Cricetulus griseus: one gene and its partner. The protein of the gene in region 1 interacts with the protein of each later gene in a biochemical or structural test. Links are inferred from orthologs where the notes say so. Each region holds a gene or a part of one and is shown on either strand. Other genes may lie near its edges.

Region 1 (4,139 bases):
AAACCAACCCTAAAACAGACAAACCCTGGGTAAGGCAGGCCGACCGATGGAGATGGTCAGCTGGGCCAGAGCCTATGGCAGCATCATCCAGAATCTGCAGAGAGGGTTGGGGGCAGGGAGCAACAATGTATCTTCAGCCTAAGTGCCTTTCAGGGGCAGCCACTAGGGTGTGGGTACCCAAGGGGCTGCTGCCTATGATTTTGCTCAGAGGCGGTCCTGGTGCTTGGGTGGAGGTGGAGAGCTCCAGCTAAGGGCTCCGGAAAGAGGAGAGGGAGAGGCAAACACTGAACTAGGGCTGCATCTCCTATCCACATGGGGAATTGTATGAACTGGCTATACCTGATCCAGGGGGACCAGGTAAGTGAGGAGCAGTGGGCTGGGGAGAAGCAGACTGTAGGTGAGCCTGGATCTCAGCTGCCATATGTGCCTGAGAATATACTTGCAGGTCAAAGTGCAGTCTCACAGTACTAGGCTCCAAAAAAGGTTCAGAACCTCCCTTTGCCAGGCCTCGGTTTCCTGATCTGTAAAATGGCCTCTTTCCTCCGGGGTTGTTCTGAGGGTAACTGTATAGGAATATGCATAAGTGATTCTCTGAGGGACTGCTGTCCCGCAGGTGAGAACTTACACAAGTGTAAAAGTAAGAGTTTATGGGGGATAGAGGATGGGAGACCTGTGGGGTTTAATATGGGACAGCTGGTCACCACCTAGAGCTCAGGAGCCAAAGTTCATCCTTAGCAGAGATCATACCAGGTCAAGAGGAAGGCAGCAAATACCCTTGCATCTCTGCCAGATAAACTCATGTTCCCGAAAAGCAGGGACTATGGGTTCAGGATGTTTAGTGAACAAACACTTCCTGGGAGGGGCAGGGGGTCACCTAGTCACTGGCATGTCTCTTTAAATTTGTATTTTGCCTGTTGCACTCTGTGTTGGGGATCTAAATTCAGAGGGCAAAGAGGGAGCGGCCAGAGCAATCCCGGTGCGGTGCGTAGAGGTGTATTCCGAGGAGGGAGAGCAGCGGCCCCTGTTCTTGCCCTCTGGTCTCTGTGTAGGGGTCCTTTCTCTAAGCTCCCTATTTCAGGAACCTCTTCAATGTAGGGAATGTAGGGTATGCAGGTGTCTATGAGTGGTTCCTGGAACAGAGGGCGAAGGTGCTTCGGAGGGTGGCCAAAATGGGATGACATAGGAGTCCCAGGGCTCGGGGTTGTGACCCTGCAATCTTCGCTCCATGGTCTGGGCTCCCAGGCAGGGGCCTAGCTAGCGGGGCTTGGGCTAGGGCGGGGGCAGCCAGGAGGGCGGGGAAGGGGCGGGCGCGGGGGCGGCGCGCTGCAGCAGGAGCAGGAGCAGGGGCCAGGGCCAGAGCCGAAGCCGGAGCCCGAGGCGACGCGAGCTGAGCGGGAGCCACAGAGGCCGCTGCCTGCTCTCCCGCCCGCGCCTCCGCCGCCTCCGCGCTCCAGCCTGCGGGGGTGTGAGCCGTGGCCAGTCGCGGCCAGCCAGGGGGCAGCGGGTGCCATGGCCGCGCAGGAGTCGCTGCGGCCCCGCCTGTGTCGCCTGGTGCGCGGCGAGCAAGGCTACGGCTTCCACCTGCATGGCGAGAAGGGCCGCCGTGGCCAGTTCATCCGGCGCGTGGAGCCAGGCTCCCCAGCCGAGGCGGCCGCGCTGCGCGCCGGGGACCGCCTGGTTGAGGTCAACGGCGTCAACGTAGAGGGCGAGACGCATCACCAGGTGGGTCCCTGCGCTGCGCCCCGCCCCCCGGCACCCTCCTGGGGGCGCGTCCCTACAGCGCTGGCCAAGATGCCAACAACCCCCACTTCTGCGTGCCACATGGTGGGACCCGGCCAGGGTCGCACAGGGGCCTGCCTGGGTTCGGTGTTGAGGTGTGGGACGTGGCCGGCCAGCTGGCCTCCTGGTGAGGAAGCTCAGTCCTGCACTAGCGGGGGAGGGAGGACATCCTGGTAGGGAGGGGCCGCACTGCGGCTACTCTGGCCAGGGCCCTGGCTGCTTCTGCTAGTTTTGGCCTCTGTGTGCCATGGAGGGGGAGGAGGTGGCTAAGGCACCTTGTGGCCTTGTGGTACAGATGCTTTTCTGTCAATGTGTGAGTGCTTGCAGGTCTCTCTGGGGTCATCCATATGAACACACTACCCAACTGTTCCAGGATGAAAGCATTCAGTGTCAGTGCTGGAATGTGTGTCTAGGGTTGGGTGGATACATCAAACATGTATGCCAGCTGTGTGTGTGTGTGTATGTGTGTGTCCGTCCATCTGTCTGTCTGCATGATTGGATATACTGGTGTACTTCTCTCATGGGCCCTTATGTCTGGGTCTGGCAGTCAGCACCATGGCAGTATACTTCCTTGGTGTCAGAAACAGCCTCCTCCTGAGAGGCTGCCTGGCCCTCCCTGTATAGGTCACTGTTCAGCTCTTGCCTTCTGTAGCCAGAGGAAGGCTGTTCTCTCCTCAGGTTTTACCTCTGGGTGTCTGTATCCTGCTGAGGGGTAGACACACCTCAGACCTTGGCTAGGGCCCAGACTTCTTCCACCATTTCTGCCTGGATCCCTGGTACCAGCATGTCCATGACCTACCTGTGTGGTTAGTCTTGGAGCCTGGAGAAGGCAGGGTGGTACTTCACTGGGCCATGAGGGAATTCCTGTCTCCCTCAGGAACCTGCTTTCTACCTACAGTGACCACTGGATTTGGTTGTGTGATGAAGAGTTTGGGATGGAGCCCAAAGGTTGGCCCACAAGGCAAGGTAGAGACCTGCAGGGTTGGTGTCATCTGCCTCTAGCAGTTACTGGAATCCACCTGTTTATCGCAGGTTTCTGGGGTGCTAGTCCCTACAGACTTTCACGCAGAGCCACATTCGATCCTTTCTCCTGCTCAGGAAGATAGGAGGTAAAACCATGACTCCTATTTTACTGACTGGCTCCGTTCCCATGCCAAAAGGTGTCAGGGTGCTGGGATCCTGTTCTATTGGTCACAGGGAGAGAGGATGGTCATGGAGGGGCCAGGTGAAGGTGGCTGTGGGTCAGACCTTCCTATCTGTGATAGGATAGCATGTACTAAGTGAAGTAATGATGGGGATTCCGTCTCTTCAGCCGCAGGCCTTGGTGCAGTTGTTAATGCTTCCTGCCCTTCAGATGTCCGGTGGGCATGTCTCCCTTTGAACTCAAACTAACATCCTGCATGATCCATGGTAGCCCACATGCTCTCCACACTTCACAGGCACCCATCCAGATACACAGATGGCTGTCAAGCCACACCTCTTACACTGTTGTATCTGCTACTGTTCGCCTTACCTGCTGGAGTGGGATCCTGCTTACCTGATATTTCTGGCACCTTAGGTAGAATCTCTAGTTCTTCACCCCTTTGCAGGTGCAGCAAGAATGGGTTTCTAGTCCTGGTCTGGAGGCAAATTGGAGTTCTAGAGATTTCTGGGTGTTAGATTCACACTGCATCTCAGAGAAAGAAATAAACCCAAATACTCACATTGGGGCCATGTAGCCCTCTCCTACACCTAGGCGGAAAGACAGACTTTAAAATAGATGCACATACAGACACACACACACACACAAAAGCACACACATACAGATAAGCATGCACACACACATGCATAGACTAGACTGAAATCCTGAAGCTCAACTCAATCGTTTCTGACTCTTCCATCTGGCTGCTCCTGGCATCTCCTTCCTGTCCTTACCTGAGCTTGGTGCAATGCCACAAGAGGATCCTGAAGTACTTGCAGCCTGGGCCCTAGCTCAGGGAGAAGAGGGAGGGAGCTACTGGAAACTGGGGGTGGGGGGTGGAGCTCGCAGGCCTCTCAGTCCAGCTGCCCACCCCTGGCAGGCCAACCCCTGCCTGCTGTCTGTGAGTCGTGCTTTGCCAAGAGTGGCGCCCTTTCGAAGTGGTGCCCTATCCATGTGTTGCCCAGCGTGTTGGCTGCTGATCTAGTCCTGCTACCCACCCATTCCAGGTGGTACAGAGGATCAAGGCTGTGGAGGGGCACACTCAGCTGCTTGTGGTGGACAAGGAGACAGATGAGGAACTCTGCCGGCGGCAACTGACCTGCACTGAGGAGATGGCCCATCGAGGGCTTCCACCAGCCCACAACCCCTGGGAGCCAAAGCACGACTGGGCATGCTCGAG
Region 2 (4,334 bases), on another chromosome or scaffold:
AGGTCCCGTGATTGACTTAATTAGCTACATGAAGAAAAGACACTTAGATTGTGGTAGGTGAGAGTGTACATATTTTCTCATTTGCAGGATGAGGGTAATAATAATAGTTAATGCCTCAAATAATTGTGAGTAGTAAACTGATAATGTACATAAGAGGTTTTATAAATTGATCTTCTTAACTTATAGAAACAGAGACATTAACACAAATTTTTGTACTTATATCAGTGTTTTTCAACTTTCCTAATACTGAGACCCTTTAATACAGTTCCTCATGTTGTGATGACCCTCTAACCAAAAATTATTTCATTGTTATTTCCTAACTGTAATTTTGCTACTGATATGAATCATAATATAAATATTTTTGGAGATAGAGTTTTGACAAAGAAGTCCCGACCCACAGGTTAAGAACCACTGACTTACATAGAAAATGTTATTTTATTATTGATTGATTCACTTATCTGTGTATTTTGTGGTACTAGGGATTGAGCCTGTGGCCACATATATGCAGGTGTTTCACACTGAGATATATCCCCAGCCCCAGAAAACATTAGCTGTTAGAATAATAACTGTGGAGTGGTGAACCCCTGAAGCATGTCAGATACATCATAGACGTTTTGAAACTTTTGAACATTCTCAATCTTCAATCTTTTAAACATAGGTATCATTGTCTCAATATATAACAGAAGTTCAAAAAGGTTAAGTCGGTAACCCACAGTCTTTCCTTAGAAAGGACCTTGTCATTCATGAACTATGTAAACAAAGGCATACTTTGTCTGTACATAGTTCTTTGACTCCCAGGAATCATAGGAATACAAATGGAAATTATATTTGATTTTCACAAATTAAACCATTTTTGAGGTCTTATAAAAAACAAGACTCTGATGTGTAAATTAGGATGAACTTGATTAGAATTAAAGGGAAATGAATAGGCTTTGAGTCTGTCCCACTGTTCCAGTACTGGATCTTTGGAAATACCTCTAGAAAAAAAAAGGGTGAGATCAACTCTCAAAAACTGTTTAGTATGTAAACCAACTTAATGAATTGCTTTTTGGTTGTGCACCTTGAACCCCAGCATTTGGAGGGCAGAAGTAAGTGGATCTCTATGAGTTCAAGATGAGCCTGGTCCCCATACCAACTTCCAAGCCAACCAGGATTATTACATAGTGAGACACTGTCTCCAAAATGAAAATAAAAATAAGAAATCCATGCTTACTTACCCAAAGGAGCTGTGTCAGCTTTTTGAAGGAAAAGTGGTATCACATGGCAAAATGTGACCTAGGTCCCTTAATCCTGCCTCTTTTGATCTCAAAAGGTGGTAACATTCAGTTCGGAGCTCACTCATCTGTAAATTGCATCACATTATCTCTGAGTTATTTAAGAAGCAAGCTCTGTTTGGTTTCAGACATTTTAACCTGCTAACGGCAAGAAGAAGTGTTCACTACATAGTTTCAAAGGTCTTCCTACTTGCCACTGTCACCAGGGAAAGCAAAATGATTGAAGCCATAGGGAATCAGTACATAGTGGCCAGACCAGTGTATTCCACAAACACTTTTGGAGAGGAGTTCAAGAAGACGCACAGACACCACAAGACATTCCTGGATCATCTCAAAGGGTGTTGTAGGTAAGAGATTCTTACGGTACTGGAATGAGGAAGAAACAAGCAATTTCTCCTAAATTTTCTAGCTTTCATGCTTTTTCTTCTGGCTCGAGTCCATAGGTCCGGGAATCTGTCAGTCTTGGCTTTCCAAGCCTTTTATTCACTGCCTGAGGTGAAAAGGCAAAAAGAACACACCATCTCAGCTAGCGGCACAAACACAGTGCTTCCAAGTCAGAGACTAACAGATGGAAACAGGCAAATTCTCAATTGAAATGCTATACAGTTCTGTTTCAGCCAAAGAAAAGCTGGCATTTTCCTTTTTAAAAAGTTTCTTTGGTAGTGACCAAAGCTTTTGGCAGGGGCAAAGAGGCTATTGTTAGTGGGAGTGAAATTGCCAGTTTCATCTTTGAAATAATGTCAGCTTTGCCAATTTTCTACCTAGTTTTAGACACCAAACTTAAAGTTTGATATTAATTCACTAATCTGTACTTTCAATGTTTTCAGCTGCTCCTCACAAAGGGCCAAGAAAATCGCCCTGTCTTTGTTCCCCATAGCATCTTGGTTGCCAGCATACAAGATAAAGGAATGGCTTTTGAGTGACATCGTTTCTGGCATCAGCACGGGACTGGTGGCTGTACTACAAGGTATTTCCTCCCTTTTTTCTCTTTTACCTTTTCTTTTATATTAAAGATGTAATTAACATGTCTTATTCAATTAACATTGAATCTTATGATTCACCCTTATGCCGGACGGTAGTGGTCCACACCTTTAATGCCAGCACTCGGGAGGCAGAGGCAGGTGGATCTCTGTGAGTTTGAGACCAGCCTGGTCTACAGAGCGAGTGCCAGGACAGCCTCCAAAGCAATACAGAGAAACCCTGTCTTGAAAAACAAAAACAAAAAGATTCACCCTTATAATTCTTCTGTGTGTGTGTGTGTGTGTGTGTGTGTGTGTGTGTGTGTGTGTGTGCGCGCGCGCGCGCGCTAGAGCAAGGCTTGCATTCTACCAACATGTTAAATGCCCAGCCTCACTTTTGATATGTATAGTTCTATGGTTTTTAGCATATCCATCAGGTTGCACATCTAGCATCACTAATTCTAGCATATTTTCACCACCTTCTCTCCTCCCTACCCCTTCACACACACACCAAAGCCTTTACCTTTTGATAGACACATCACACTCTTCCCTCCACTCATCGCTTTAACACTTTCTGTATCTATGGATTTTCCTATTCTGGATATTCCGTGCAGATGGAATTGTATGTGTCTGATTCTTTTCTATTAGCATAATGCTATCCAGTTTATTCATATTGTAACAAGGACAATATTCTACTGCATGTACCACATTTCATTGAACATTTGAGTCATTTCTATTCAGAGGTGATGATGAATAAACTTTTATGAACATTTGCGTACAACTCTTCATCTAAAAATATGTTTAAATTGTCTGGATACATCCATAGGAGTATAAGTGCTGGGTCCTGTGGTAGCTCAATGTGTAATTACTTGTAGAGATGTTGTTTCATTTCCATTCTTCCCAGCAGTGCTTGTAGCTTCAGATGCTGCTCCACCTTATTGCTTGCTATCTTTTTATCTTCGCCATCACAGTGGGTGAGAAGTGGCACCTTGTGGCTTTGATTATATTTCTCTATTAGCTAATGATGTTTGGTTAAGTATCTGCTCTTTTCTTGTGCTTATTACCCTTTTGCGTGTCTTTGGAAAACTACGTTTCCAAATCCTTCATCTTTTGTTTTGTTTGTTCGGGTGGTGCTGGAGGGCCTGACACATACCAAGCAAGTACCTTATGACTGAACTAGACCCCTAGTTCTTCTTGGCTGTTTTAAAAGTGCGGGTTGCCAGGCTGGAAATGTGGCTCCATGAGTAGAGTGATTGCCCATCATGCCCAAAGCCCTCGGTTCCATTGCCAGAACAATATGACTCAGGTGTCCATGCCTGCCATCCCAGCACCCAGGAGGCAGAGGCAGGAGGCATAAACTAGATAGCATATGTGAGGCCACCATGAGCTATGGAACACTGTTGAGTTGCAAGGGTTACTTGTATATTTCTGACCTTTATCTGATATATATATATATATATTATATATATATATATATATATATATATATATGCAACAGCTGTTTTCACTCTCTGTGTTGTCATTTCACTTTCTGTTTTTAAAACTCAAGAGAGGAAGGGAGGTTGAAACATGGTCTCATGTAGCCTTGGCTGGCCTCAAACTCCTGATCCTCCTCCACCTCCCAAATGCTAAGATTACAAGCATGTGTCACCATGCCTGGCCTAAAAGATGACCCATTGTGGCCATTTCCTGTGTCTTTAATGTGATTAGGGGAGAGTGGATTAAGCCCAGGGCAAATATACTCCCATTGAGCTATAGCCCAGTTCCCTAAACATCCTTATTTTGCGGTACTGGGGAGACAAACTAAGGCCTCCTGCATGCTAGGCAAGTGCTCTATTACTGGGCTAAATCCTCTGATTAAAGCTCACTTTGCTAATAGTGTGCCTTGAGTGTGCTTTTGTTTTTCCCATGCTGTGATTAAACCCAGAGCATCCCACATGTTAGGCAGGTACTCTTCATTGACCCATGTTGCAACTGAAGCATTTTTACTTTCAAGTCTTTGATTGCTTGTGCCCTTCTGAGAGACTGTTGCTGATCCAAGATTTCTAAGATTCATACTCGTGTGTTCTTCTAACAATGTTAGTTTTACTTCTTGTATCTA

Evidence for each region.
Region 2: the proteins of Slc9a3r2 (region 1) and Slc26a3 form a complex in vitro, tested with the Homo sapiens proteins (2 studies listed by BioGRID and IntAct, with this or other methods). The link is inferred for Cricetulus griseus from reciprocal best matches to the Homo sapiens genes NHERF2 and SLC26A3.

Annotation. Positions count from the first base shown.
Region 1 is NC_048600.1:44,234,660-44,238,798, reverse strand, and holds the start of Slc9a3r2 (Na(+)/H(+) exchange regulatory cofactor NHE-RF2), read left to right. Parts: upstream 1-1,326; 5' UTR 1,327-1,509; coding exon 1,510-1,722; intron 1,723-3,966; coding exon 3,967-4,139.
Region 2 is NC_048598.1:168,963,386-168,967,719, forward strand, and holds the start of Slc26a3 (chloride anion exchanger), read left to right. Parts: upstream 1-1,490; coding exon 1,491-1,621; intron 1,622-2,101; coding exon 2,102-2,241; intron 2,242-4,334. UniProt on the Homo sapiens protein: Mediates chloride-bicarbonate exchange with a chloride bicarbonate stoichiometry of 2:1 in the intestinal epithelia. Plays a role in the chloride and bicarbonate homeostasis during sperm epididymal maturation and capacitation.